Linked DNA regions of Anolis sagrei. The protein of the gene in region 1 purifies or fractionates together with the protein of each later gene. This does not show direct contact. Links are inferred from orthologs where the notes say so. Each region holds a gene or a part of one and is shown on either strand. Other genes may lie near its edges.

Evidence for each region.
Region 2: the proteins of TRIM47 (region 1) and SATB1 purify together in Homo sapiens (affinity purification with mass spectrometry; 4 studies listed by BioGRID and IntAct, with this or other methods). This does not show direct contact. The link is inferred for Anolis sagrei from reciprocal best matches to the Homo sapiens genes TRIM47 and SATB1.
Region 3: the proteins of TRIM47 (region 1) and fructose-1,6-bisphosphatase 1-like purify together in Homo sapiens (affinity purification with western blotting; 3 studies listed by BioGRID). This does not show direct contact. The link is inferred for Anolis sagrei from reciprocal best matches to the Homo sapiens genes TRIM47 and FBP1.

Annotation. Positions count from the first base shown.
Region 1 is NC_090022.1:118,482,448-118,492,325, forward strand, and holds the start of TRIM47 (E3 ubiquitin-protein ligase TRIM47), read right to left. Parts: upstream 4,200-9,878; 5' UTR 4,126-4,199; coding exon 3,493-4,125; intron 1-3,492. Other genes in the region: E3 ubiquitin-protein ligase TRIM65, read right to left, coding at 8,549-9,174. UniProt on the Homo sapiens protein: E3 ubiquitin-protein ligase that mediates the ubiquitination and proteasomal degradation of CYLD.
Region 2 is NC_090026.1:87,917,398-87,927,573, reverse strand, and holds the start of SATB1 (DNA-binding protein SATB1), read right to left. Parts: upstream 4,468-10,176; 5' UTR 3,544-4,467; coding exon of another isoform or gene 3,540-3,543; intron 1,244-3,539; 5' UTR 1,180-1,243; intron 1-1,179. UniProt on the Homo sapiens protein: Crucial silencing factor contributing to the initiation of X inactivation mediated by Xist RNA that occurs during embryogenesis and in lymphoma.
Region 3 is NC_090022.1:230,377,587-230,388,186, forward strand, and holds the start of fructose-1,6-bisphosphatase 1-like, read right to left. Parts: upstream 4,475-10,600; 5' UTR 4,393-4,474; coding exon 4,223-4,392; intron 1-4,222. UniProt on the Homo sapiens protein: Catalyzes the hydrolysis of fructose 1,6-bisphosphate to fructose 6-phosphate in the presence of divalent cations, acting as a rate-limiting enzyme in gluconeogenesis. Plays a role in regulating glucose sensing and insulin secretion of pancreatic beta-cells.

The DNA.
Region 1 (9,878 bases):
CTTACTCATTTTTTCTTCGCCTGCATCTGGAACTCCCCAGATCCAATACTGTATGTACTTCTCAACACCTTTAACTTTCCAGTCCATCTTAGGCATGTTTTCCCCAAGACTGCAGGACCATGAGTGATGCAAAAAATATGTGACTACATCTCTCAACTGACCCCCAAATCAGCACAAGAGAACTCAAACTGTGAAAGAAAAGAGTGTAACTTTGCTTTAAGCAAGTTACACTCTCCCAACTTCAGAGAAGGGAAGCCCCCTCTGAAAACTCTTGCCAAGAGAACTCTGTAACAGAGTTTTCTTAAGGTTGCTATGAGTGGGAAAACAACTTGAAGGTACCCAACAACAACAACATATTGTCCCCTGTTGGCTTCTATGGAGAAAGTGTAAGGGGGGGGGGGGGGGGAGAGCAATACTATCCCTTTTCCCAGTACTGCTCACAATCTTGTCAGGAAATCAGCCTCACTGATTTCATCAGAACTTGTTTCTGAGTAGTCAAGACTGACTTTTGCTATAATCACTTTTGCAGGCTCCTCCACCCATTTGAAACTCAGCGCTCTAAGTCATGGATTTGGCCCACAGCTCTGCCACAAAGCCCTGATTCATTCTCAGACTCCAGTTGCAGGCATGTAATTTCTCCCAAGCTTGGAAAAGTTACTCTTTGAACTGCAACTTCCAAAATCCAACAGAGGTAACATTTCCAAGTCCTGAATAACAGGGAGAAAGGGGGGGGGGGGTCCAGCATCACTCTGCCAGTTAATGAATTTTAGCATGAGTTTTCATGGATAGCAATCTATTTCTCCAGATGCAGGGACAGAATAATGTTAAAACCACTTGTGTTGAAACACAGATACAAAGTTGTAGGAGCAGGCTAGAATGTAAACAAGTATTTATGAAATATAATGTTGCATTCTAGCCAGAAAACTGTGAACCTGACCATAAATATGCAAAGCTCCAAATTTCTTCCTGGCTGCTTCTAGAATAGGAAATGCCAGGCATTTGGGGAGGATGCTTTGGGAACATCTAACAGTGTAGAGGTAAAGGTTTCCCCTTGACATTAAGTCTAGTCGTGTCCAACTCCTGGAGTTGGTGCTCATCTCCATTTCTAAGCCGAAGAGCCGATGTTGTCCGTAGACACCTCCAAGGTCACGTGGCCATAATGACTACATGGAGTGCCATTACCTTCCTGCCGGAGCGGTACCTATTGATTTAGCCACACTTCCATGTTTTCAAACTGCTAGGTTAGCAGAAGCTGGGGTTAACAGTGGGAGCTCAACCCATCCCACGGATTTGAACTGCCAACCTTCTGATCAGCAAGTTCTGCAGCTTAGCGGTTTAACCCACTGCACCACTGGGGCCAAGCTGCATTCATTCTACGATGTAGACTCAACCTTATAGGATGAATGCAGCTTGACTGACTTCACTTCAACTGCCATGGCTCAATGCTATGGAATCACAGAAGCTGTAGTTTTACACAACCTTCTACAGTATAGACCAGTGATTCCCAAACTTTGGCCCTCCAGCAGTTTTGCAGTTCGACTATCAGAAACCTGGCCAACCAAAACACTGCTTCTTAAACTTTGGGCTCCAGCCCTCAATGGAGTCCCCTTTGCACAGTGTTGGGATCATGAAAGATTGGCTAACAGCACTAAGTTCCTGAACACCACCCATTGACACAAAACAGTTAGCAAGAATATGCAGTGGGCTTTGCAGCTGTAACTCCTTAGAAAGAAAAACCAGCCTGTTGAGTGAGCCTTTACAAACACTGATTTGTTGGCTGCAAAATTTGAATGTTTATATCAATTTTATAGACCAACCAACCTGGGGTCACATACTGCAGGTCCTAGAAATGCCCAGATGCACTATTGATCTACTCAGGATGCTTGCCATAGACGTGGGCGAAACGTCATGAGAGAATGCTTCTGGAACATGGCCATACAGCCTGGAAAACTCACAGCAATCCACTAAAATGACTGTCAGAACTGGGTAACAGGTTATTTCCTTGGTAATAGTATGATAGCTGGATCCGGAAGCTCCGAGCATTACGGAGATGCTGCATCGCTCCTTCAGGAGCACTGTTTGCAAAAGAGAGAATTAGCTCATGTAAGCCAAGCTGGAGACAGATAATATAGAAGGAATGTAAGGGTTCTTTCATGGTGAAACCCTAACCCTGAACCCTAACCGTAAGCCTAAGTCTAACCCCTAACCCAAACCCTATGCTAACCCAAACCCTAAACCGTACCCTAACTGTAACCCCTAACCCTTACCCTAAGCTAACCCTTACCCTAAGCATCCCCTCCTTTCTATCCTTCCTTCGCTCTCCCTCCGCCCCCTCTCTTCCCTTATTCACAGCCACCTTTGTGGCATCTCCGTAACGCTCAGAGCTTCTGGACCCAGCTATCATACTATCACCTTTCCCTTTATAGTGGCACAGGCAAACTAAGTGTCGGTAATAGTATGATAGCTGGGTCTGGAAGCTAGGAGCGTTATGCTGTTTCTGCTTCGCTCCTATGGGAGCGCTGTTCACGCAACGCGATATTATAGAAGGAATGTAAGAGTTCTTTAATGGTAAAACCCAAACCCAAACCCTAAACCTTACCCTAATCCTAACCCTAAACCTTATCCTAACCCTCCCTTCCTTTCTATTCTTCTGCCCTCACCTGGTCCCTTTCCTTATTTACAACTGCCGTTGCGGAATGTGCGTACTGCTTGGAGCTTCTGGACCCAGCTGTCATACTATCACCCTTGGGTCTTCCCTCCAGGTGTTTTGGACTTCAACTCCCACCATTCCAAACAGCCTAAGGAAGGGCTGGAGGGAGGCGGGAATGTTTGCCCTTGCCCGCTTAATAAGAGAGAGGGTGATATTTTGATAGCTGGGTCCACGAGCCTTACGGAGATGCTGCAAAGGTGGCTGTGAATAAGGGAAGAGAGGGGGTGGAGTGAGAGCAGGGAGAGCGAAGGAAGGATAGAAAGGAGGGGACGCTTAGGGTAAGGGTTAGGGCAAGGTTTAGGGTTTGGGTTAGCTTAAGGTTTTGGGTAAGATTTAGGGTTTGGGTAAGGGGTTAGGTTTAGGCTTATGGTAATGTTCAGGGTAAGGGTAAGGTTTAGAGTTTGGGTTAGCGTAAAGTTTTGGGTAAGGTTTAGGGTTTGGGTTAGGGTTATAGTAGGGTTCAGGGTTAGGGTAAGGGTTTCACCATGCAAGAACTCTTCCATTCCTTCTCTATTCTCTGTCTCCGGCCTGGCTTACATGAGCGAAGTCTCTCTTGCGGAAACTGCGCTCCCGAAGGAGCGATGCGGCATCTCCGTAACGCTTGGAGCTTCCGGACCCAGCTATCATACTATCAGCCTTGGGTCTTCCCTCCAGGTGTTTTGGACTTCAACTCCCACCATTCCGAACAGCCTAAGGAAGGGCTGGAGGGAGGCCGGAATGTTTGCTCCTGCCCGCTTGATAAGAGAGAGGCCCTGCTTGGCCCGCTCCTTCTTTGCCTTCACCTGGGCGCGCTGGATCTCGTCCTCGAGGGCGACGGCGTGGTGCCCGCGGTGCTGGGGGTCGGCCTTGCAGAGGAGGCAGAGGCAGGCACCGTCGTTGCGGCAGAAGGCCTCGAGGGGGCGCAGGTGCAGCTTGCAGAGCCGGTCCTCGAGGCGCGGCGCGGGGTCCACCAGGCGGTGTCCCTGGAAGGCCGGGCTGCGCAGGTGGGGCTGCAGGTGGGCCGCGCAGAAGGAGGCCAGGCACACCAGGCACGACTGCGCCGCCGCCGCCCGGCCCTCCTCCTCCGCGCAGAAGTCGCACAGCACCCCCGCAGGAGGAGGAGGAGGAGAACGGGGGGAGCCCGCCTGGCTCGCCTCCTCCTCCTCCGCGGGGTCCAGGGCGGGGGGGCGGCGGAGGTGGAGGAGCAGCTCGGCCAGCGCGTGGTTCTTGCGGAGCTGCAGGCCCGGCGGGAAGGGCTCCTGGCAGAGCGGGCAGCGCGAGGCCGACCCTTGCCCCGCCCGGTGCGCGCCCAGGCAGCCCAGGCAGAAGTTGTGCCCGCACGGGACCGTCACCGGCTCCTTCAGGACGTCCAGGCAGATCGGGCACACGAAGGGGCCCTCCGCCGCCGCCGCTGGGGACGGAGAGCCATCCGCCATCGAGGACCAGGCGGAGGGAAGGCAAGCGGGCAGGAGCCCTCGGCCAAAGAGGCGGATCCCCTCCGGAGGGGAGGAGAGGGGAGGGGCCTCCCGCGCGCCCCTCCGCCTTCCCGCCCGCAGGAACCCCAGGCTGCCTCTGCCACAGCCAGGCTTGGGCAAACTTCGGCTCTCCCTCCGGGTGTTTTGGACTTCAACTCTCACAATTCCTAACAGCCGGTAGAGTTGGAGTCCAAAACACCCGGAGGGCCGAAGTTGACACACAGAGAAAAGCGCATCTGGTGTCTGTCTGGAGTTGCGGAGACATCAGGACCTCCGTTAAGTTTCCGCGGACGAGCGCCCTCTAGCGATCGTTTCCAAGAGCACATTTTTGCTCGTTTAAATCTCGGAATCTCCTGCGCATTTGAAGACTCGGGTAGGAAAAAATCTGACATTTTCCTCGAAGGGCTGGAGTCGTCTACTAACCTGAAGGCTGCGTGGAAAGCTACCGCACCCCGTGGCTTGATGTGATAAAAGGCAAGAGGACAAAAACACCTCTATCAAGTCATAGCTCTGCCTTTTCCTCTCCTCTGCTTTAGTTCCCCGTGTGTATAGGCCTTTGGATTAGTTTTTGGGTGGACTTAAAATCCCCCCAGAGGCCAATCTTAGTTGGTCTACTCCAGGGGTCCTCAAACCTTTTGAAAAGGGGGCCAGTTCACTGTCCCACAGACTGTTGGAGGGCCGGACTATAGTTTACACGGGAATATTGTGAAACATTTAGAGTCCTTTGTCCCACCCTGGTCTTTCCACAGATATATAAACCCTTTTTCCTAGTTCCAACAGACCTCACTACCTCTGAGGATGCCTGCCATAGATGCAGGCGAAACGTCAGGAGAGAATGCCTCTAGAACAGGGGTCCACAAACTTTTTAAACAGAGGGCCAGGTTACAGTCCCTCAAACTGTTGGAGGGCAGGATTATAATTGGGAAAAAATGAATGAATTCCTATGCACACTGCACATATCTTATTTGTAGTGTAAAAAACACTTTAAAACAATTCAATAATTAAAATGAGGAACAATGTTAAGAAATATAAACTTATTCGTATTTCAATGGGAAATGTGGGCCTTGCTTTTGGCTGATGAGATAGGATTGTTGTTGTTGTTCCATGCTTTCAAGTCGTTTCAGACGTAGGTTGACCCTGAGCAAGGGCTGGGTAAATGACCCTGGAGGGCCGCATCTATTTATTTATTTATTTATTTATTTCGGTCATTTCTACCCCGCCCTTCTCACCCCCTAGGGGGGACCTGCTCTAGAACATGGCCATATAGCCCTACAAAAACCTACAACAACCCAGTCATTCCAGCCATGAAAGCCTTCGACAATACATTTATTTTATATATTGTGAAACATTTCTTTCAAATTACAAATAAATGAAATGTTGACTTCAAGCATGTTGTAGTAACAGGTTTACTAGAACAGCAGGGAACCCATGAATATGCTTACTGATCAGCCTGTCGGCCGAATTCCCATAACCTCTTGTCATCATAGTTTGTGGCAGCCACACAACGTTTCTAGAGGAGAACTACTACTTTCAAAGTAAGAGCTGCACAATTAAACAGAAAATAACAATTTCAAACCAGGAACAGATTTCTGTTCTACAATATTATTATTATGTTTATTTATACACCACTTTTTGCCTTCACAAGGAGACTGTGGGCCCTTCCAGACAGGCCCTATATCCCAGGATCTGATCTCAGGTTTTCTGCTTTAAACTGGATCATTTGAGTCTGCACTGCCAGATAATCTGGGATAAACAGAAAACCTAGGATCAAATCCTGGGATATAGGGCTCTGAAAGGGCCCTTCCAAACAGCCATATAACCCAGAATATCAAGGCAGTTAATCCACAATATCTTCTTTGAACTGCATTATCAGAGTCCACACTGCCATATAAGCCAGTTAAGTGTGGATTTTATACAGCTGTGTGGAAGGGGCCAAAGCAGCTTACATTTCAATGCAATTTCAAATCTACAAATATGTGAAACATTACAATAGAATTAAATGTCATTGCTTTTCTTTAAAGCAGGCATGGGCCAGCTTGGGCCCGCCTTGTGTTTTGGACTTCAGCTCCCACAATACCTAACAGCCAGTAGTGCAGAGGTTCTCAACCTTCCTAATGCCATGATCCCTTAATACAGTTTCTCATGTTGTGGTGACCCCCAACCATAACACTATTTTTGTTGCTTCTTTATAACTGTAATTTTTCTACTGTTATGAATCATTATGTAAATCTCTGATATGCAGGATGTATATCCAACCTCCTGCCATAAGGGAGAAGCACAATCAAGGCACTCCTATCAGGTGGCCATTCAGCCTTTGCAGGCTGAACGTCGTGTTGTTGCCGCTGCTGCCCCGGCACTGCTGCTTTCAAGGCGGATTACAATGTACACATATATGGCAAACATTCAATGCCAATTTGACATTCAACGTATACAGACATACACAGAGGCTATTTAACTTTTTCTGGCCTCCAGGGGAGCTGTCGCTTTCATCGTCCATCTGCGACACTGATGAAGTACTTCCGCATTCCCCGCATGCTTTTGCTGGAGTGCTTTGCTGGAGTCTTTTTTATGGCCTCGTAAATTAGTTAATTTAGCCTCCCCACACAAGGTGGTACCTAATTTTCCTACTTGGCAGATGCAACTGTCTTTCAGGTTGCAAAGGTCGACAACAGGCTACACAATTGGTTGGAAGCCCACTCCAACCCGGGCTGGCTTCGAACTCATGACCTTTTGGTCAGAGTGATCTTAATGCAGCTGACACTCAGCCAGCTGCGCCACAATCCCGGTTTGATTTCATATTAGATGTACCCATTTATTATTAAAGTCATCCTCCTGAATATAAGCCTGGGAGAGACCCTCCTATGGGTTTTAAACATTTCCTAGATTAGAAGCTAGTGCTTCTCAACCGGTAGGTACTCAGGTGTTTTGGCCTACAACTCCCAGAAATCCCAGCCAGCTTACCAGCTGTTAGGATTTCTGGGAGGTGAAGCAGATTGAAACAGTACATTTCTAATTGGTTATAAAGTTTTGTCTTTTCTCACTATTGGCCCACTTTCACTTATTGTATTTCTATGGGCTCACATACAAAGCAAGTAAACAACTGAAGAGTAGCTATGTCTCAAGGTCTTAAGTGCTGGGTGACTGCCAAACACCGGTCTTATCTTCTAGTCTCATACATGAGAAATTGGGAAGGAGAGCAGTTTCTAAAACTACATCTCTTACACTGTTGCACCTCAGCAGGAGTTCACCTTGCTCACATCACTCATCAAGGAACCAAACATGGCAATAAACAGTTTATTGATAAAACACATATAAAAAGGACCAAAGGCACCTTAAGCAAATAGAAGGGTAAAAATCCAAGTGTTAATAAAGGAGCAAGTCCAAAAAGCAGGTAAATCCAGAAAACAATGCTTAAAATATGAACATTAATCCAGGAAACCAGGAGCAGAAGATGGGCATGAACCCAAAGGTAAACCCATAAAACAAGAAGCAAAACTTGATCACAAATCTTGGGTCTTGAACTAGGGCATGAACCAAGAACAAGACAGGAGTTCCTCACTCCAGTAGTGACGTTGCATGATCTAAAATCCTAACAGCTCTCTCACTAATTTAAGGACTGCAAAACATGAACACATTCCTTTGACCTTGAGAGGCCTGCCTCTGCCTCTCTCTCTCATGGGTTTTTCTGCACCTGAATCTCTGCTCCCTCAGAAGCAGCCTGGTATCTCTAAGCCCAGCTACTTCCTCAGATGAACTAATGTTATCCTCCCCTCCTTGCCTGTTGGCTTCCAAAACAGTTTCACTCTCACACTTTGCCTCAGCAACAGCATCTTGCTCCAAAACCCATTCCATTCCCTCAGCTGCAGAACCATCTTGCTCTAAAACAACGTCTGTTTGCTCACCTACAGAACCATCAGGCCCTGAACCTCCAAACCCCTCATCTTCATCTGGCTGAGCCACAACATACACTGCAAAAGACCCAACATGCGATGCTGGCTGGTCGACCTAGTACCTCCCCCCCCCCCCCCCACATCCACAGATACGTTCGTAACTAGGAGTCATATGTAAGATGTTTGTAAGTTGGAGGCTTCCTGTAATCACTTACCTGATCCACTTTCACTGCTGAGTTTCTTAAAATAAGGTAAGAATTTTAGAATGCCACATTTTCCCCAGGATGTTACATCAAGAAACAGATGGCTAAGATAGGTCAACTTCTATGTCTAGTTTCTTAGTGATTAGTAAGTACTCTCAAAGTTGCATGTTAGTTACAACTTTAGTTGCAAGAGACAGAAATTGGTAATGTCTCAGGGGATGATCTTACAAAGGAGAAAAACACACAGACCACTACAAACCTGGGCATCTTGAAGGCTACAAAGATTCACTATCACTGTTTTGTAGCAGTCTGCTTATCTCCTTGTTTCGCCACAGTGGTGAGAGTTGTTTGTATGTCTGCAGGCATCCCATCATTTTGGCCTTGGCCTTCTGCCTTTTGGCAAAGGGTGATAGTTGTGCCTTCACACAGCCAAAAAATTGGGACAAGTGGGTCTGAAAAGATGGTGTCAAATGAATGCAAGGGCTTCATGTTGTCATCTACACCGTAAAAGCTCAGGACCCCGTGGTCACAGTTCAAAGACATGCCAATGAACTTGCACAAAGGCTCTTTGATCTTAGTAGGTTCACCGTTGTGCCAAGCCACATAGCAGTCTTCTTGGACATGCAGGCCCCAGGAGAGCTGGTCCTGCCCAATAGTGAAGTTTCGCCTGCCCCATTTCTTCCTCGAGATTCTTTCATAAGCGACGCCAACAATGGCGGACTGCCCCGATATCTTGACTTCCCAGTAGTTACTGCCTTGGCTGAATTTCTGGACACACATCACCTGCCAAGGCTCAAACCTCTGAGGTTCATTTGGCATTTTTTGAAAGTCTTGAGGATGAGCAGCCTTCCGGTCGAGATCAGACAACCGCAGGTATTTGTTTGCTGTGCTTGGATCAAAAGTCAGGTTCTGCTGATCTATGGGAATGGCAAGAATGTCAGAACAAAGAGGGGGGAAATCCATCCTATTCTTTACCGATTCATCTTTTTCCCTGAGATCTGTTTCATGCAGCAAGTTCACTAAACAGGAATGTGCTATGGCTGGATAGAATCGTGATTCACAAGGCCTGAGGCTACAATGCTATTGTGTCACCTCTGCAGCTCAAATTCTCACTGAAAATGGAGGCCTCTTTGATGAAATATTTGATGTGTTGTCGAAGGCTTTCATGGTCGGAATCACTGGGTTGCTGTGAGTTTTCTAGGCTGTATGGTCATGTTCCAGAAGCATTCTCTCCTGACGTTTTGCCAACATATATGGTTGGCATCCTCAGAGGTTGTGACGTATATTGGAAACTAAGCAAGGGAGGTTTATATATCTGCGGAATGTCCAGGGTGGAAGAAAGAACTTGTATCTGTTGGAGGCAACATTCACACTTCCCTCCAACAGACAAGAGTTCTTTCTCCCACCCTAGACCTTATTCCACAGATATATAAACCTCACTTGCCTAGTTTACAACAGACCTCACAACCTCTGAGGATGCCTGCCATAGATGTGGGTGAAACGTCAGGAGAGAATGTTATCTGAGTCCACATTGCCATATATTCCAGATCAAAGCAGAAAATATGAGATTTTATTCAACTGTGTGGGAGGGGTCCTACTGATTTAGCAGAAATTAGATTAG
Region 2 (10,176 bases), on another chromosome or scaffold:
AGATCTAAAGTGTAATACAGTCTAAGGTGTAATATTTTGAATATTGCCTAATCATTCTAGAAATGCTGGCTTCAGTAACACTTTCTAATTAGGGTAAATTTAATATATATTTATTATGGTAATATTAACAATATCAAGAAAGCAGTCCAGGTTCTTTCTCTAGCAGGTTGTTAAATAAAAGATTGAGTCCAGGATCCTTCTCTAGCTGGTTGTTAAATAAAAGAATGAACCCATAATCTTGTATTCGGTTTTTGTTTCAAGTGTGCCAAAATGGTGTGTTTCCAAGAAATTGGAACAGTTAATATGGTAAGCTTCCCCGCTTTTAAAGAAAACATGCTTTGAAGCACTCAAAAACTGAAATTATGCATATTTAATGATTTTTCTGTTTAGTTATATAAATGCTTTAGATTTCTTACATACTACATACAGACGTTCTTTGGTTCAGACAGTCATGTCTGCCATTGGGGTGTTTAAATTATTTTGCAAGTAGTACATCATGTTTTGCCTAGCAATATTGATCTCCCCTATTAATACCAAACAGGTGGTTGTCAGCAGACCTATATGGGCCTATAACACAAAATATAACCGGAATGCCAAAATCATTTTGTTAGTCTAAGACAGCAATTCAAAATTTGAATAATTAGTGTATTGTCTCCATTAGACCGGTATATCTTTCCGTATATACCTGTCTAATTTATGCACACAAATATGATCCTGGACCACCCTGTGTCCCTCTCGGGAGAGAGGGCGGTCTAGAAATAAAGATTATTATTGTTATTATTTTCTTTTCTAAACTACAACAAATATATAGATACAAAATGAACTCCCTATGGAATTACTATGCAATTTAAAAGATCAATAGTCTAGCATGGGAACATGTAGAGTTCCCTTTTAGGCCCCATGAAATGAACATACTTCAGCTCTGATAAATGTATTTTAATACAAATTACTACTTATCAAGCATTTTAACTGAAATGAATGTGGTTATTATAAAAATAACCACATGGTTATGAAAGTATTTTCTACTTTTTTATTAGGATATATCCTTTGGAATCTCTTCTGGATCCTTTTCATTCATTGGCCATGTGATTTTAGAAGTCACAACTATGGAGATTTTACATATCATAAGAAACTTTACATACCTAGATATACAAATAGAAATTTATGCTGCACACTTACTTTTTGAATCTCATATTGTTTATACTGTCTATGTGTTATTGCTTCTAATTGATAAGCGATGTATCTGAAACACAAGTGAATGTTGGAACAGATTAGGAAGACAAGTTTTATAATGCGCCTAAGCTTATTAAGCTACGTTCACGCCTCTGTACAGTATGAATATTGTTTTCTGTTTGAAACAATGGCACAAATTAAGATCCCCATATTTGGTGATCGGTGTAAACACTGTTGACAAGACAGTGAAATACTCATTCAATTCCTTTTTGCCAGCTTAAGTTAGAATTTTCACATATTCTAACCTTTCTTAGCAATGTGAGGAAAAACAGAGTAAATATATTAAATTTGTTTCACAACAGATGCTTAGGTTGTTAATATTTAAGATGTCTCTTAATGCTATGCCTGTCTGCACATTTGTCAAAGAAAAAAGTGTAAGCTGGAGTGCTAATGTTTGCCAGCAGAGTGGAGCAGACTGTAAGTAAGAATGCACAAAACCAAAATAATAGTTGGGGGAGAAAAAATAAGTGGCAGTTTCTCAGTCATATCTTTTAGTAACACAGAATAACGATCTGTCAGATTAGAACATCATCCAATTTAACTACAGAATGCTTCACTGGGAAGTTATGCTGCTTGCCCAAGAAATTCACATTTAACCTTATTTTGGGGAGGGGACTCTCAAGTTTAAACGGATCTCTCAAATAAAATGCAAATCAGATGGTACTGATGCCAAGAATCACAGCCGGAATTCCCTTCCAACAAAGCAAAGCAATTCTCTGCCACTAAAAGAGAAACTTTTGCTCCAGCACAAGTTAGCTGTCATCGCCAAACCTGTTGAGACACACCTCTGAAAAAGGCTGGTTGAAACTAAAGTATTCTGACACAACTTCAGAAGGTACCCTCTGAAACTATTCTGGATCTATGTGGCTTTCTAAAGCTGTCAAAAGCTTTCCAAAATCAGGATTTTTTGTTAAGGGGAGGAGAAAGGGGAAGATGAGTGATCCAGTGCCTCCTTCTGGAGGGGACACTTAGGAAAAGTTCAGGTGAATAGCCAAAGGAAACTGCATTTCCTTATGGGGTGCCGTTTCAGGGACCACCCAGTGCTTAAAAGGAAGGAGGCGGGATGGAGGCTGCCCAGGGAAAGGCGGGATGCGAGGGAAAGAGAGAGGCACCTGCGAAGGTGTGAGCGAGAAGCCGCCTCCTTAAGGTCATCCGAGGGACAATTGGACACATCCCGCCCATCAAATGCCCTCAATTTTGGGAAACACGAACTCTTCCCGCCAAAAAGCGCCTCTAAATTGACCTCTCCCTTGTCTGGCGAGAGAGTGTTCACCTCGCCTTTTCAAACTCGCTCACTTTCCTGTCAGTCTTGTCAGAGTCCCCGGCCTTCCTCTCCTCTTCCTCCCGCCGCCAGCATCTCCCCTGAGTCTCCTTCCTTCCTTCCTTCCTTCCTTCCTTCCTTCCTTCCTTCCTTCCTTCCTTCCTTCCTTCCTTCCTTCCTCAGCCTCGCCTCAAAGGCCCCTGAACCTAAAACTTCCTGGCTGCGCTCCGGGAAGGCGAGACGGAGTTGAGCCCAAACTTTTCTCCCGGCGCCACGGACCTCGCTTGCCTCAACTTCCCCGCCGGCAGGTGCCTCTCGGAGGTGCCTCCGAGCCATTTCACCAAAAACCAATGTCTGTCAGAAACAAAAAAGCCACGAACTTACAAAAAACCCCAAAACCCTACGAAGACCTCGGCCCTGAAGACCTTCGCTGGTAGCTAGGGAATAGGTACATGGGGAAGTAAAGCTGCTGCCTGAATAAAGCCACATAGCTGGAATTGGTTTCACCGCGTAATAGTCGCTCCCACCCCTTTTCAGCCAAAAAAGGGGTACAAAGTGGGATGAGTGAGAAACCCCTCTGAGCCCCTCTAAAGATGAGTGAGAAGCCCCTCTAAGCCCCCCTAAAGATGAGTGAGAAACCCCTCTAGAACATGTCCATACAGCCCGAAAAAAACTAAAACAACCCTCTAAGGATTGCTGTAAGTTTTCCGGGCTATGTAGCCACGCTCCAGAAGCATTCTCTCCTGACGTTTCACCTGCATCTATGGCAAACAACCTCAGAGGTTGTGAGGTCACTCTAAGGCTTTCCCTCAGCTGAGTGTGAACTCTTCACTTTCAGAAGTAGATAGATACAAGCTCTCTCAACCCCTCAGCCCTTCCTACCCGAACTCAAGTTTGAACTCTTCACACCCAGAATTGGATACAAAACGACAACAACAACAAAAGAGCGGGAGGGGGAAAAGAAGAGGGTGTTGGAAGTGGAGGGAAAGAAGGAAAGGAAGGCAGGCAGTCAGGCAGGCGAGAAAGGACGGAGTCAGTCACTCACTCATGAGAGCGCGGCGAGGCTGGGCGACACCTTCCGCTTCCCCGGCGCCGGCGAAGTTAATTGCACTGAACTTCAAGTTGTCTTTTCAGCCATCAGGAGTGGGCGTTTAAAGGAAGGAGCGCGGAGGAAGAGGAGGAGGAGGTGGAGGAGGAGGAGGAGGAAGAGAAGAGGAAAGGAGGAGGGGGCACAGAGAGAGAGAGAGAGAGAGACAGAGAGAGAGCCTGCCACCCTCTCTCCCTCCCTCCTCTGCTCCTGAACTGCCTGGCAGGCGGCGACTGAAGAGGAGGAGGAAGGAGACGACGAGAAGGCGGCGCCCCACCGACCGACCGACCCACCGCCTGCCTCTTCCACCTTCTCTCTTTCTCTCGGCTGGCACTGAAGCCCACCAAGTGCCCGACGCGGGGCTCCTCCTTCGGCTTCCTTCCTCGATCAGGAACTCTGTTTCGCTTTCTTCTTTCTTTCTCTCTCTTTCTTTTTGTCTCTTTGCCTTCTGGCTCTTTTCTTCCCGCGGAGAAGACTGAGACGGAGTGAGGGGCGAAGAAAGGTTGGCAGGAGGAGGAGGAGGAGAGGGTTGGCTTGGCTTCCCTTCTTGCTGCTGCTGCTGTTGTTATAATTATTGTTTTTGTGCTTGTCTCCTCTGCTCTCCTCGTCCGCCGGCGTCTGCCGTTCCTTCTGCCACCCTCCCCTAGGTTTTGTTGTTGTTGTTGTTGTTGTTGTTTGTGTGGGGCTGGCTGGTGAGCGCGCCTGCTTGCCTTCCTGCCTGTTTCTCTCTCTCTTTTTCTCTCTCTCTCTTTCTGCCTTCCTCCCTCGCCGCCCCGGGGAAGGAGGAAGTCAGGTGAGACGCACTCACAGGCTGCACACACTTCCCTCCCAGTCCCCGTGCGGCGGGAAGGAGCTCATCACTGTTGGGCTTGTGTTGTTGTTGTTTTTCAACGCTATTCTCATCCCTGCCCCCTCCTCTTTCTCTTTCCCCCACCTCTCTTTTCCTCAACGCTGCTCCCCTTCTTTCCTCCCGGAGAGCAGCGCCCCTCACAGGCTCACCACCAAGGCTGCTGAGTCTCCCCTTTTTATCTCCTCCTCCTTCTCTTCCCCCCACTTTCTATCTATCTCTCTATTTATCTCTCACCCCCACCTTCTCTATTCCCCCCTCCACTCTAATATTTATACACCACATGCTTGGCTGTCAGCTGCTGCTCACTTCAAATCTAAGAAATAATGTACTGTCGAAGGCTTTCGTGGCCGGGATCACTGGGTTGCTGTCTTCTATGGCTATCTTCCAGAAGCATTCTCTCCTGACGTTTCGCCTGCATCTATGGCAGGCATCCCCAGAGGTTGAGAGATCTGTTGGAAACCAGGCAAGTGGGGTTTATGTAATGTCCAGGGTGGGAGAAAGAACTCTGCTTGAGGCAGGTGTGAATGTTGCAATTGACCACCAGCAGTGGAACTCTGTGTGGTGGAGGCTTTTAAACAGAGGGTGGATGGCCATCTGTCGGGGGTTCTTTGAATGCGATTTTCCTGCTTCTTGGCAGGGGGTTGGACTGGATGGCCCACGAGGTCTCTTCCAACTTTATGATTAGCATTTACTGGTCTTGCAGCTTCAAGGTCTGGCTGCTCCTTGCTTGGGGGAATGCTTTGTTGGGGGTGTGTGTGATTAGATGGCCCTGGTTGTTTCTTGTCTGGAATTCCCCTGTATTAAAAATAAACTCAAAAATCAAAACAGTTAATAAAGAACAATACTCAAAGTAGGAAATTACAGACAAGAAACAATCAGGGCCAGCTAACACTTTCCAACAAAGGATGCCCAGGCAGCAATCAGACAGGCTTTGAAGTTACAAGGCCATTCAGTGCTAATCAAGGGTGGACAATTGCAACATTCACACCTTCCTGAAACAGACAAGAGTTCTTTCTCCCACCCTGGACATTCCACAGATATATAAACCCCATTTTCCTAGTTTCCAACAGACCTCACAACCTCTGGGGATATGTATTTATCATATCAGACGCGAACTGGGGGTACAGTTGTACTGTATACAGTATTGGGTTTTTTTTTAAAGTTTTTAAAAACTTGGCCTTATACTAAATAATATCCTTTGACCAGTAGCTGGCCACTTGGGAGTGCCTCTGGTGTTACTTTAAGGAGGTCCTCCACAGTGGATGTGGCAGGGCTCAGGTTGCATTGTAGTAACTGGAAGCGACTTTTGAGGATGCCTGGCCTGCCATAGATGCAGGCGAAACGTCAGGAGAGAATGCTTCTGGAACATGGAAAAACTCACAACTAAGAAATAATGTTTGAGGGGTGGGAGGTAGAGGAAGAATATGACCGAGCAGGGCAGTTTTCCAAAATCTAACAAAGGTGATCAATATTTTAAGGCTCGGGAGAAGATCGGGAAGGAAGGAACGGGTTATGATCTTCCTCTCTTTCTGAAATTGTGATACATATAAAAATACCGAGAGGAAGATCATAAATATATATATGGAGGGAGGGGCCACTCTTTCGACTGCTGGATCGTGGCTTCAGAGACACAGAGAAAGAGACACACGGCGAGGAAGTGGAAAAAGGAAAGGGAAACTTCTGTGTCAGAATGCGAGCATATTGGCTCTTCTGCTCTGAAACCTGGACCGGCAACCGAGAAAGCTGGCTTCCTAGAAATCCATTGAAAGAGGGAGGGAGGAGTGCTGCCTTTAAACCTGGGATTTGGAGAGCTTTGTATCCCTGCTTGGCGTTCCCCACTAGAGTTACTTAGAAGGTATTCGGCTCTGTTGGTTCTCTGCCTTCGGGTTCATTTCCCGTTTTGGTACCTTTTAAAACCTCCCTGCAGCCTCTCAGACAGACTTTGAGACCTTTCCTGTCTTCACAGGAGCAGAGTATAGAGAAACCTGGGCAAAGTTCTTGGAAACACAATCCTTACAAACCTTTCCCAGCCCCCCAAACCTCAGGAAGCTACCTGATTGATCTGAAAGCAGGGAATTCAGTGTCAAATCCACCCTGCTCCTTTTAATTTCTGGATTATGCATGCTTCTTTCACAACAGATTTAACTATAGGCATATTTTGGCATGCAAACAATGCCCGGGCAATGATTATAAGGGCACACCTTTCTTTAATAACTGGTAATAATATACCATTTCTGAAATAATAATAATTATTAATAATACTAATTATTATTCATCAGAATGAAACCTAAGTAAAGGTTGTATTATATGTTGTTGTATGCTGACAAAAATGCCAACTTGGCAGTTCTTAGTTCAGAAAGACAAAACTTTTGGCTACATTTTAGTAACTGAAAAAATAATAATTTTAACACATTACAACTTCAGTCCACTGCTGGTTCAATCTCAGATTCCTGTCCTTTCAAAATATTCTTAATTTTTTTGCAAATCCATCAGACAGGTAGAGAATCTGTAGTCTTCCATAGACTGGACATCGTCCAACTTCCAGTCAGTATGATCAAAAGAGTGTATATCTAAGAATCAGAGTACTTTGGTACTAAGTGTATAACTTAAATAGCTTTGTAGTACTGAAGGAGTGATTCCTGATATGCATGTTGGTACTTTGAAACAACACAGTTAACTGCTCTTAAAAATCACGAGGGAGTGGTCAAAGCATTACCTGTCCCAATAATAATAATAATAATAATAATAATAAACTTTATTTGTACCCCACCACCATCTCCCCAATGGGGACTCGGGGCGGCTTACATGAGGCCAAGTCCAACAACGCAACACAATAAATAGAATACAAACATAAACAAGAACATAAACAATTACATAAAACATAAACTATAAAATACTATAACCAATATAAAATTGCAATAAAATCATTCATAACACAAAACAGTGAGTGGGCCGCATGTATAGAGTGAAATACTAAAGGTAAAAATGGGGTGAGATACCTTTACTATTTGCGAGGGGGGAACTCTTCCGAAATGGGGTCGAAAAAGGTACCTTCGTACAGGGGGGAGGTATGCACTAAGAACAAGTGTTACTGGCAATATGATACAATAACTATCTAGAAGTCATTGCAAAGCCAACACAAATGGCTGTGCCCTGGTGTTACCTGAGTTGTTATGACCAGCCTCATTATTAGGCAAATACAATAGAGTCTCGCTTATCTGACATAAACAGGAGCCCCTGGTGGCACAGTGGGTTAAACCCCTGTGCCGGCAGGAGGAAAGACCGACAGGTCACAGGTTCGAATCCGGGGAGAGGCGGATGAGCTCCCTCTATCAGCTCCAGCTCCTCATGCGGGGACATGAGAGAAGCCTCTCACAAGGATTATAAAAACATCAAATCATCCATGTGTCCCCTGGGCAACGACCTTGCAGATGGCCAATTCTCTCATACCAGAAGCGACTTGCAGTTTCTCAAGTCACTCCTGACACGACCAATAAATCTGACATAAATGGGCCAACAGAACGTCGGATAAACGAAAATGTTGAATAATATGGAGTCTCCTACTGTTAGCCATTTGATGCAGTGCTAGACACCTAGAATACTACAACAGGGACTCAAATGGTTAATGTAAGGCAATGCCTCGGGGTTAGAGTGGCCCAGCAGGAAGTGTCCAGATGTGGAAGAGGAACATGGAAATCACAGAGGGAAGGAGGAAGGATGCTTCTGCTTCCGGTCCTGCCTCTTCCTCACCCCCCTTGTCTCACCTTTTTCACTTATAGGGAATGGAGAGAGAGTTGGGAAGTGCTCCTTTAATTGAAAGAGAAATGCTGGAGGAAAAAGGATAGGAGCGTCGGATGAGACGGAATGTCGGATAAGCGAGACTGTAGAAGCAACTGCTTTAGAAGGAAAGCACTAAGGAGCAGTGAGGACAGCCCCTTAGTGTCCATTGGCTTTTCTCTTGAAAACAGCTCTGTCTCTGTCATGGAGTCTGCCTTGCTTCTCTCCCCCCACCCCGAATAGTCCATTGCCCTCTAAAATAGTGGGCACTATCCTGCAAATTAAGATTTAACAGATAACTGGTGGTGCAGTGAATTAAACCACCAAGGTGCTGAACTTGCTAACCAAAATGTTGGTGGTTTGAATCCAGGGAGTGGGGTGAGCTCCTGCTCTTAGCCCCAGCTTCTGCCAACCTAACAGAAAACATGCAAATGTGAGTAGATCAAGTGGTACCACTCCAATAGGAAGGTAATGGCGCTCGATGCAGTCATGATGACCACATGACCTAGGGGGCGTCTACGGACAACACCGGCTCTTCAGCTTAGAAATGGAGATGAGCACTACCCCCAGAGTCACACACAACTAGACTTAATATCAGGGGAAACTTTTACCTTTACTATATAAATTATGTGAATGGAGAAAGGAATGCCATCTTATCTCTTTCCTCGGTAAGCAAATTGGCTTGGGTTGAGCTTGACCACTGTGTTCTGGATCTGTTCAAGCTCAGTGAATATATTCATTTAGTAATGAGGTGAATAAATAATGGATTCCATATCTGCCTTAGTATTGAAGACTTGGCCTTCTCACCAGTTTGAGCTAGTAATGTGTTTTCTCTGAGATACTATTGCTGAGGTCGATCTAGCTGTTTCTGAAGGCTGTGTGTGTATGTGTGTCAAGGGAAACTGTATCCCTGCACAACTACTTATAGTGATATCATATAATGCATTCCAGTTGCAGGTTGCCATTTTAAACTCAGATGACATTGTCATCCCATGTCCTTCAGCTGGAAACAACATGCCAAATACTCGAATGTGATCAAACAGTAAGAGGTTATTCAATTCTGTGCAGGGACATCTAGCTAAATTTACCCACCTGTTCTGTGAGTCCTTCTGCCCTGTGTTGGCTTTTGTATGTCACAGTTCTGATATTACTTCTGCAGCATGAATGAGAGAAGAACGCCACATTGAATAAACCATGGTGAAGAATCATAGGCAGGGCCAGCCCAATATGTTTTGCTGCCAGAAGCATGCGGGCTCAGATCGGTGCCATTCTTGTACTGGCAATACTCCCAAAAGTCACAATACATAGTACCCAACTCTCTCAAAGTTATTTTGCTACCTAAGGCATTTCCTGGAAATAAAAAACATAATCAATATATTAATATGTAATAATAATCTGTTACTTGATGTGGTTACTTCACTCTGCCAAATGGTTGGGCTGGTCCTAGTCATACAGAGCTCCCCATTAAGTTTTATAGTTGCTGTCAAGAGACAAATCAAGCCAAACCAAAGGAAAGATACTGCTTTCTTATTGTATTTCAACATCAGCCCCAATGTTAAAGGAGTTTGTCCATTGAGATAATATTTGCTAATCATAAATAAAAGTCTGAGGAGAGGCAGCAGGAATTTATCTTGATCTATTCCTATTCATACAAGAAGAATAATTCATTCAAATCTTAATTATCTCCAGCATAAGAATTTGGCGTATTGTATTCCATATAATGTAGCACAGTCCTCAAAGTACTTAACTCACCCACAAGTGGATAAACCCTTCATATTATCATTTCTATTCCCATTTTTAAAATAACCTTTATACTGGGCAAAAGAAGAAATGCTACGCATTTCATACAAATGTTTACTTTCTTTACTAAACCATGACCTAAATGTTGACCCAAAGAAAATAAAGTGATTGTACTTGTCATTCCACATGTGCTTTGAGAACCCTTCTATGAATGTTGTGTGGAAGAAG
Region 3 (10,600 bases), about 110 Mb from region 1:
CCGAGTTACAAACATCTAACTTACAAATGACTCATAGTTAAGGACAGGGGTGAGACAACAGGAAGTGAGAGAAATCTACCTCTAGGAAGGGAAATTCACTTCTGGGTTATCATGGGGAAAAGGTATCTCCACTGAAACTTTCTAACCAATCCTTGTTTCCACAACAAGAGGATTTTTTTCAAAATCCAGTGATCACAGGAACAGAAAGTGAGAGGAAATCTTCTGAACCGGGGCACAGGTAGCAAAGCAAACTCCACAGGGGTGTTAACCCTTCCTGTGCTATCCAAAGCTTGTGTGTGTGTGTGTGTGTGTAAAGGTTTCCCCTGACATTGAGTCTAGTTGTGTCCAATCCTGGGGGGGTGGGGGTGCTCATCTCCATTTCTAAGCCGAAGAGCGGCATTGTCTGTAGAGACCTCCAAGGTCATGTGGCCAGCATGACTGCATGGAGAGCCATTACCCTCCTGCAGAAGCGATACCTATTGATCTACTCATATTTGCATGTTTTCAAACTGCTAGGTTAGTAGAAGCTGGCCATAACAGCGGGAGCTCACTCCAGCCACCCTGGATTTGAACCGCCAAGCTTTTGGTCAGCAAGTTCAGCAGCTCTGTGGTTTAATCTGCTGCGCCACCAGAGGGGCCATACACACACACACATTTAGCTGGAGTTACACTTAAAGGTATCTGTTCCAATGTACAAACAAAATCAACTTAAGAACAAACCTGCAGAACCAATCTTGTTCATAGCTTGGGGACTGGCTGTATTTAGAATATTTCAGTATCCTAGTTTTGATTAATCCCTACAAAAATTAAAATACAGAGTCCTAGTGAACTGATGTGAATACATAAAAATATCTTATAGTCTGAGTTGTCTCAGTTACACATTAAGCCAATCTTAAACTGGGTGGCTGTGACCTTTCCAGGCTGTATGACCTTGTTCCAGAAGCATTCTCTCCCAATGTTTCTGAAACAGAATGCTTCTGGAACATGACCATACAGCCTGGAAAACTCACAGCAACCCAGTGATTCTGGCCATGAAAGCCTTCGACAACACAATCTTAAAGTGATAAGTGGGTCATAGTATATCAGCAGTAATGCAGACCGCTACTGTGTTGGCTCAGCTTTAAATGAGCTACATTGGCACACGGAGGGAAAGGGCCAACATAACTGAATGAGTAAGAGTGGTAAAGAACTATGTCCCAACAAAGGTACTACAGATGAAGAATGGTGTCAACACTGGTTTCTTCATGCTATTACTACGGAGATTGAGTTATAAACGGTTACGTTTGCATCATAACTTGCTCATGAGAGAGGAAGCACACTTAAGCGGATGTTGGCATATAATATTTCTTAGTGTAATGTGCATTACAAAAGAGATTTTGTTCTATTCAATAAGACAGAAAAAAACATGTTTCCAGCACCCTGTTCCAAAAAAGGGAAGCATTACCATATCAAAAATTACCCGCTTCTGTTCCCTTTGCTGTAGTGCTCTGAAATACCAAAAATCACCTTCTCTATTTAGCCTTAAAGCTGTTTTCAGCCAACTACGCAATGCTTCCTAGCTAGAAACAGAAAAATATATACTGGACAAGATGGAGGCCCCTTCCACACTGCATATAATCCAGATTTTCAAAGCAGGAAATTCCAACTCATAGAGTTGGAAGAGACCTCATGGGCCATCCAGTCCAAGCCCCTGTCAAGAAGCAGGACAATCACATTCAAAGCACCCCCGCCAGATTATCTGCTTTGAACTGAATTATATGAGTCTACACTGCCATATAATCCAGTTCAAAGCAGATAATTTGGATTTTATATGGCAGTGTAGAAAGGGCCCAAGATTGAACTCTTATTCCCATTTACCTCAGAATTAGGTTTATTTAATTTGGAAGGACTGACCACTGTATAGGAATGTAATGTATACTGCAAGTATAACCCACTTTTTGTTTCTTGACAACTCTAGATATGTTGAACTACAATTCCCATCATTTTCCAACTAGAGTGGTGGCCAGTCTTCCAACACATGTGGAAAACGGAATTGGGTCTCTTGTGTCATTTATACTTATATTATTGTTAGCTGGAAACTGCTGCAAACCTGTCTTCAGAATCCCCCCTTACCTACTGGTAGGAGGTCTGTATGTCTAGCTCTGATAAAGCTAGACAAATTATTAATTTATATTCAATGTGTTTAACGCCCTTGGCCATTCTGTTTAAAGTACACCAACAAGGCCCAAAGGCTTTAATAAAATATCCATGTTTAATGTGGCACCTACATAAAAGCAGTATTGCTGACAATTGGAGGCCCAATGGGAGGACATTTCAAAATGAAGGAGCCACAGCTGAAAAGGCTATCTTCACTCCATATATTGCTCTCAGTGATGGGAAATTTATTTATTTATTCATTTACCTTATTTATATCCCGCCTTTCTCTACCCCGATGGGGACTCAAAGCGGCTTACAATCGCTTCACAGTGCCTTAAAACATACAACCTCAGTTAAAACATGAGTTAAAAATCTAAACATAATAAGCATAATAAAATACATTTCAATAAATCACATCATCCAGAGTCGTAGTCTAAAGGCTAATCTGTAGTCAAAATGCAAATATTCCATATTAAGATTCCGGCACTGCTCTATTTTTCAAACGCCTGCTTCCAGAGCCAGGTTTTGACTCTCTTTCTAAACACTAGGATGGAGTGGGCTGCCCTGATATCACTAGGGAGGGAGTTTCACAATTGAGGGGCCACTATTGAGAAGGCCCTGTCTCTCGTCCCCACCAACCGCACTTGTGAAGAAGGTGAGACTGAGAGCAGGGCTTCCCCAGACAATCTTAATCTCCGAGATGATTCACAGGGGAAGATACATTCAGAAAACCTCATATTGAGATTGGTACATATAGAAATGTGTTCCCCCACAAGTATTAAGTTCCTAAGCCAAATGGTTCCAATGCAATGACAATGAAAAGGAAAATCAACTGATTAACCACCTCCATTAAAATCTTTTGGGTAAGTCCCAAATGAAGTACAGGCTGAGCATCCCTTGTCCACAATTTTGAAATACTCTACAATATGAAATTGTCCACACACGTGGCTAAGAATGACTTCTATATTTTCTGATGTTACACTGAGTATAAACTTTGCTTCATGCACAAAACTATTAAAATCTAGTGTAACATTGCCCTTAGGCTATGTGTATGAGGTGCATACAAAACGAAAATCAAATTCATGTTTAGCCTTGGGTCTCATCTCCAAGACATCTTAATATGCATATATATATATATGCAAATAGAAGTATTCCAAAACAAAACACTTTTGGTGCCAAGCATTTCATACAAGGGGACTCCAGCTGAGCTCTTGTTAAGCCTGTCCTCAGCTGTTGAACATTGAGGTAACACATAGTCAAATCTAGTAGATCCAATGGTTCTACTATGATAGCCAACAAGATTTAGGTCCTTAATGTCTCCTACTGGGCACTCATCCTTTTAAGAAGGAGCCAAGGATGTTGGGATCTTAGACAGGGTTTGGTGTTACAGCAGAAAGGAATGGACACAATGTGTCACCTAGAACGATGCTCTTCCTTTAGCCACTACCTTCTTCTACTCACCACTCTCTTTCTAGGAAAGCAGAAGGGGGCTCAGTAGGTCCAATCCACACAACTCTACTCTCAAAGGGCACTTCCAGACTGGTCCTATATCCCAAGATCTGATCTCAGGTTTTCTGTTCATCCCAGATTATCTGGCAGTGCAGAATCATATAATTCAGTTTAAAGCAGAAAACCTGAGGTAAAAAAAACCCCAGGTTTTCTGCTTTTAAAAAACCACAACAACCTAGTGCTTCCAGTGATGAAAGCCTTCGACAATACATCTCCAATACTGTTCATATGGGTGCATCTACACCAGGCATGGGCCAACTTGGGCCCTCTGGGTGTTTTGGACTTCAACTCCCACAATTCTTAACAGCCTCAGGCCCCTTCCTTTCCTCGTGGCTGGTCTTGAGGACGTTAGGAATTGTGGGAGTCCAAAACACCCGGAAGGCCCAAGTTGACCAATGAATGCTGTAAGGTGAAGCTCCTACTATCTGACTTGGCCAAGGATGATAGAAGCTGGAGTGTAGGTACATCAGGAGAGACCAAGAGTGGCAAACATTGTGGGTGTCCACGAGGGGAGGGGAGGGGAAGGGGCTCTGGGGAGAGAAGGGCTCCTCCTCCTCTCTCTCTGTCTGTCACTCACAGGTTGGCGATGCCCGCCTTGCGCACGGCGGTGGAGATGGCCTTGACGGCGGTGCAGAGGGAGTTGAGCAGCTGGGTGAGCTCCCCGGTGCCCTTGGCCTTGCGCCCTTCCTCCATCACGAAGCGGGTCAGCGTGGTCACGTTGGTGTCGAAGGTGGAGCGGTCGGTCATGGTGGCCAAGGAGTGGGAGCAGAGCGCGGACCCAAAATTTGCCCGGCCCGGTCCACGGAGGAGATCCTCCACCAAGGCGCCCTCCCTTTAAAAACCCGGAACTCCGGCCACGAGGAGGAGGGGCGGACACCAGTGGCCCAATCCGGACCCCGCGCGTGGGGAGACGCCTCCTTTGCGGGCCTATTGGCGGTAATAGACAAACCATGAAGAATCTAGACTGTAGGTCAGGCCTGGGCAAGCTTGGGCTTTCCAGGTGTTTGTGACTCCAACTCCCATCATTCCTCGCAGCCTCAGGCCCCTTCCTTTTCTCCCTCAGCTGCTTAAGCGACTGTTTGGTGTCTTTGGGGTCCTGGAACCAAACCCCAGCAGATACAAAGGGTTCTCTGCATCTCATTGCTGAGAAACTCTGTTTTCCTTTTTGAACATGGAAATAATTGTAGCTAAGTGTGAGAAGGACTTGAAGCCTGCCAAATAATCAGATAATTCCACTCAGGCATGTAGCGGGGGGGGGGGGGGGGGGCGCTCGGGGGGGTTCAGCCCCCCCCCCCCCGAAATTCTGATGGTGGTTCGCGAAAAGGCCTTACTGGTGCATTATTTAAACTGTTATGTTTATTCATATCATGATCTGATCACCATACTCAATATATCCCATATGCATGGGGGTATTGGGGTAATGATACAAAAGGTTTGCTAGGCTAGACCCTCTTTCACTCAGATTCAGCCCCCCCCCCGAAACTCAGCCCCCCCCCCCCCGAACCCCCCTGAAAAAAATTCAGTCCTCCCCCCCCCCCCCCCCCAACAAAATCCTGGCTACGGGCCTGATTCCACTGATACTATCTTGCCAGTTCTCTACTTCTGGATGAAAGTAGTAAAAGTAGCACATCTCCGGGTGTTTGATTTTGTCAGAATCACGAGGCAGAGGCATTCAACGCTGGAATGGGGTTCAGATTCTGCAGATTTATCAGGCATATTTATATCATGACCAAATAGTGACATTACAAGCTACTATCTTTTTAATTATTAACCCATCTACTACTCTCAAAGGCACAATAATTTGACTTTCAAAGAAGTTGCTTATGGATACAACAGATATTTCTGCCCTGTTTGAGCATAATTATTAAGAAGTATATGTGTGCGTTTTTAAAAAGTGCACCAAAAAGCTTAACGGGTGTTGCTGTAACTGGCCCTCTAATCTACTTCTTAAATTTGATCCTCTGCATATACTAAGGGTTAGGTCCAATCTAATAAATCCTTATTAGATTAGATTTGTTGAATCAATAGAAGTGAACATGGTGTTACTATTGATTCAACAAATCTATTCTATTTGGACTAAACAAATGTAGGCCCCAAATGAAATTTCCTTTCAGCCCATTTGACAGAGCATATTGTGAATCTGATCATATACATGTCTTGTGACTGACAAATAACATTTCCCCAGAACAGGTTTTGGAAAAGGTTATTTTCTTTGTCAGTAGAAGATCTGAAAAGACTTGTTTGTTGTTTTAGACATATCCACAAACTTAGGCCCCTTCCTCACTGCCATATATAGCAGATAATCCATGTCATCTACTTTAAACTGGATTATATGAGTTTATACTGTCATATAATCCAATTTAAAGAAGATAATTTGGGTTTTATATGCCAATGTAGAAGGGGCCTCAATAGTCTGTTACAGTAATAGAGGGCAGGGTGGCATTCTTTGGTTAGTAAAGATTTTGTTTGATGCTGCTATTGTGTGTCAAGACACTGCTGACTCACGGTGATCCGAAGGAAAGCATATCAGAGTTTTCTTAGCAAGACTTTTCAAGGGGAGTTTGCTGTTGCCTTTTTGTGTGTGTGTGTGTGTGGCTGAGTCACCCAGTGGATTAGTCACTCCACAGGTTTCCATGGCTCAGTGGAAGAGATTCAAACCCTTGTCTCCAGAGTCCTAGGGCCCTTCCACACAGCCATATAACCCAGAATATCAAGGCAGAAAATCCCACAATATCTGCTTTGAACAGGGTTATCTGAGTCCACACTGCCATATATTCCAGTTCAAAGAAGAAAATGTGGGATTTTATTCAGCTGTGTGGAAGGGGCCCTGGGCAGATATTGTGGGATTTTCTGCCTTGATATTCTGGGTTATATGGCTGTGTGGAAGGGCCCCTAGTCCAACACCAAGGAAAATCTTCCAGAAGAATACAAGAAAATGCTGTAAGTGTATATTGAATTTCTAGCTTGGATTTTTCCCCCCAGTTTACTTAATGTAAATGAACATATTGAAAAGCTTTATGACTAGATATGAAACCGCTGGGAGAGGCCTCCCAGAATTTTGGAGTTTGGTGCCACCTATATGCAGATGACACCCAACTCTACTACTCCTTTCCACCTAAAGCCAAGGAAGCTGTCCTGAACTTAAACCAGTGCCTGTCATCGGTAATGGACTGGATGAGGCAAAAACATTGAAACTTAATCCAGACAAGACAGAGGTACTCCTGGCCAATTGGAAGGCAGACCAGAGAATAGGGATCCAGTCTGTGCTGGATAGGGTTACACTCCCCTCTGAAGACACGGGTTCTCAGTTTGGGGACCCTCTTGTACTTGGCATTGAATATGGAGGCCCAGGTATCTGCGGTGGCCAGGAGGGCCTTTGCATAATTAAAACTTGTGTGCCAACTGTGCCCATTCCTTGAGAAGCCAGATCTGGCCATTGTGGTAACATGCTCTATGTGTGGGTGCCTCTGAAGGGTGATCAGAAACTTCAGCTGGCCCAAAGAGCTGAAGCCATGGTCAGGAGAGACCCTTCTCTCTGTCCCACCTCCATCTCAAGCCCAGTTGGTGGAATGAGAGAGAGAGAGAGAGAGAGAGAGAGAGAGAGAGAGAGAGCCTTCCTTCTTGGTGGTTGCCCCGTGACTCTGAAACTCTCTTCTTCCCAGGGATGCCGGAAAGGCTCCCTCCCTGCTGTCCTTCTGGTGGCAAGCTAAAACCTTCTTATTCAGACAGGGTTTTAAAGATCAAGGTTTTAAAGATCAAGCCAGGAGGTGCTGTGGTTTGAATTTGAATATGCATTGAATGGTTTTAAACTGTAAATGTTTAATACTGTTTATATTTAATTCTGCTTTAATGTTTGTATAGCTTTATATTTGGAATTGTGTACTAATGCTTTTATGTTAAGCCACTTTGAGTCCCCTTCGGGAGAGATAAAGCAGAGTCTAAATAGTAATAATAGTAATAATAATAATAATTATTATTATTATTATTATTATTATTATTATTATTTTGGAGCACAATACTCCTGACCTCACAATTGTGTTAAAAAACGAAGTATGGATTGTCGATGTTGCAATCTCAGGTGACAGCAGAATTGAAGAGAAACAACTGGAAAAGCTGACACTGCAAAGACTCTGGCACAAGCCAATAAAGGTGGTCCCAGTGGTGATTGACACACTGGGTACAGTGCCTAAAGACCTTGGCCTGCAGTTAAACACAATTGGCACTGATAAAATTACCATCTACCAGTTGCAGAAAGCCACCCTACTGGGATCTGCACGCATTATTCACCGATACATCACACAGTCCTACACACTTGGGAAGTGTCCGACGTGTGATCCAATACAACAGCCAGCAGAGTTATCTTGTCTGCTGTGGACTCATCTTGTTGTGTTTCAAATAACAACAACAACAACAACAACAACAAAAACAATAATAATAGAAAGTCCAGCTCCCTTTTCCCCAGTAGCATAACAGGGCAGTATATTGACCTTCTTACCAGGCAATTATACAGTGACACATTAAAGGCATTATCACATCATGCTATTATACCATCATTGTTGCATTGTGAAGTCACTAAAAACCCAGTAAACAATCCATTAATGAGCTTTACCAAAAACAATTCAGGCTGGGTCTACACTGCCCTATATATCCCAGGAAATGATTCTAGATTAGGTTTGAACTGGATTATATTGCTTTGAACTGGATTATATGAGTCTACACTGTCAGATAATCTGAGATAAGCAGATACTTGGGATCAGATCCTGGGATATAGAACAATGTAGATCCAACCTCAGTAACCAGGTGCTGATAGCTCATGGTATTTTATCTGTGAATTAGTGGTTTGAGTGTCGGCAGGTTATCCCTTTGTCAAGGATTCCCTAGGAAATCTGGCCTGTTACTTCTGGTGCTTGGACAGGGAAGATAGCTTTTCTGGTATTTTTCATTTCCTCTAATACACTCTTCCAAATTCAGATTTTTTTCCTGTTATGTTGTCATAATCTATAGCACACCCTATCATTATAGCAATGTTCTATCATAACACTATTAATTCTTTAAAAAATTAGACACGAAGAAGTGGGGTGGGGTATAAGGCAGGTGGCAGTGATGCATCCATGCAGATGACAAAAATATGCTGTGTAGCTCCAGCAAGGGTGCGATAGAGAGCATCCACAATCAGCAACTTTCAGAAGACTGGCCGGAGCTGATTGCCAACAGAATAATATGTCATAAAACGTTGGTGTGATAAGTCCCTAAGGCAATTACAGTAGCACAGATAATGCAGTAGCCTAAATAGCCAACTACCATTGTTATTAGGATTAGAGTGTAAGTGCATTGGAACCTGGCCAAATCATTTTAAACTTCACAGATAGTGTGTCATTCCCCCATCCTTCCCCCAAAGAGCTAACTGGTGCAGTATGATTTATATACCACCTAAAAGTTACAATGATTCAAACATTGTAGAAATACGAATTTAAATTTTAAAGAAAGAAAATAATCAGATTGGTTGCAAATCACCTATTCACCCAAGCTGTGCTCACAAAAGCACACAACATGAACATGTGAGGAGGTAAGGAAAAGATTCCATCTTCAATACAGCTCTCCACAACTGTGGCTGGATCTATACTGCCATATAATGTAGTTTATACTACACTGAACTGCATTCTACACTGGCCATATAATGCAGTTCAAACTGCATTATACACTCAGTGTAGAATCAGCCTTTGCTAGACATCACTGCAACCGTGTGTTTGAAAGACCTAGTCATAGCTGCCAAATACATGGTTAGTAAAGAATGTGGTGCCTTTATTAAGGATTGAATTATAGCAATAGGGTCTTGTGATGCTCACATATTGATTTAACATAGTAGGAGGACTTCATAAAGCCATTAATATTCGATCTTGGCGCCACGTCTTTAGGAATCATTTACAGCAGTAGCGTTTTATTTCATGTTTTTATTTATGACATTAAGTGTATGCGATTGCATCCATTATTTAATAGCCATTGGTTTGTGTCCTGTTGCAGCTCCAGATAGAGTGTGTTAGTGACTTTAATCAAGAGATTCTGGGGTTGAGAGTGTGTGCCTTCTCTAATGACTCCCAGTGGATTTCCATGCCCAAGCAAGGAATTAAACCCTAATCTCCAGTCATAGTCCAACGCTCAAAGCGCTACACTACTCTGGCTCCCTACTAGATTGTATTCATTAAATTTGTGGCATTTACCTATCTATTAATTTATAATTCAACAAGATTTGGGCCATTGTAATTAGCTTCGAAATCTGACTTTTAGGCAGCATAATAGCCCTGTGAAGCTGTTTGTTTTCATTTCACAAATAAAGTCGAGAGGTTGCAAAGTCAATAGTGAAACTACAGCTTATATGAAAATAGCTAATTGTTGTAGTATTGTATTTTAATTTAAATATATATATATAATACAACAAAAAGGGGAATATATATATGATAGAAGCCTAGGCTAGGCAAATTTTAATATTAAGTGGACCATATATTGAAAGAAATATTTTCTTGACGTTGGTGCCAATGAAATGCATGTTCCAGTTAAACCTTTAAAGAAAACATGTTCTTCTCCAGAAGGGAGAGAGATCAAATCTTGTTATTTAAATATTGCTCAACAAGGTCCAGATCCTCATGGTGGACTACAAGGAGCCACAGTACTGCAACCACGACAGCCATTTGGGGTCACACAGCACATACACAAAGGGCAGAACACTATTGATTAAAGTGTGCCTTTTGTGACTAATGGGGCCCCAGAGAGCAACGATGACGCAAATTCAAATTAGTCAGTCACAGTGCCGTTCCCAACTATTTCATGATGAATTCCACTCATGCAGTTATGAACTACTGTACTGTAGTATTCTAAAGTCTGGCTTCTTAACGTCTTCTGAATTTGGTAGTAAAATATGTACAACATTTGAGCACAGTTTTGTGTTTTAGCCATTTTC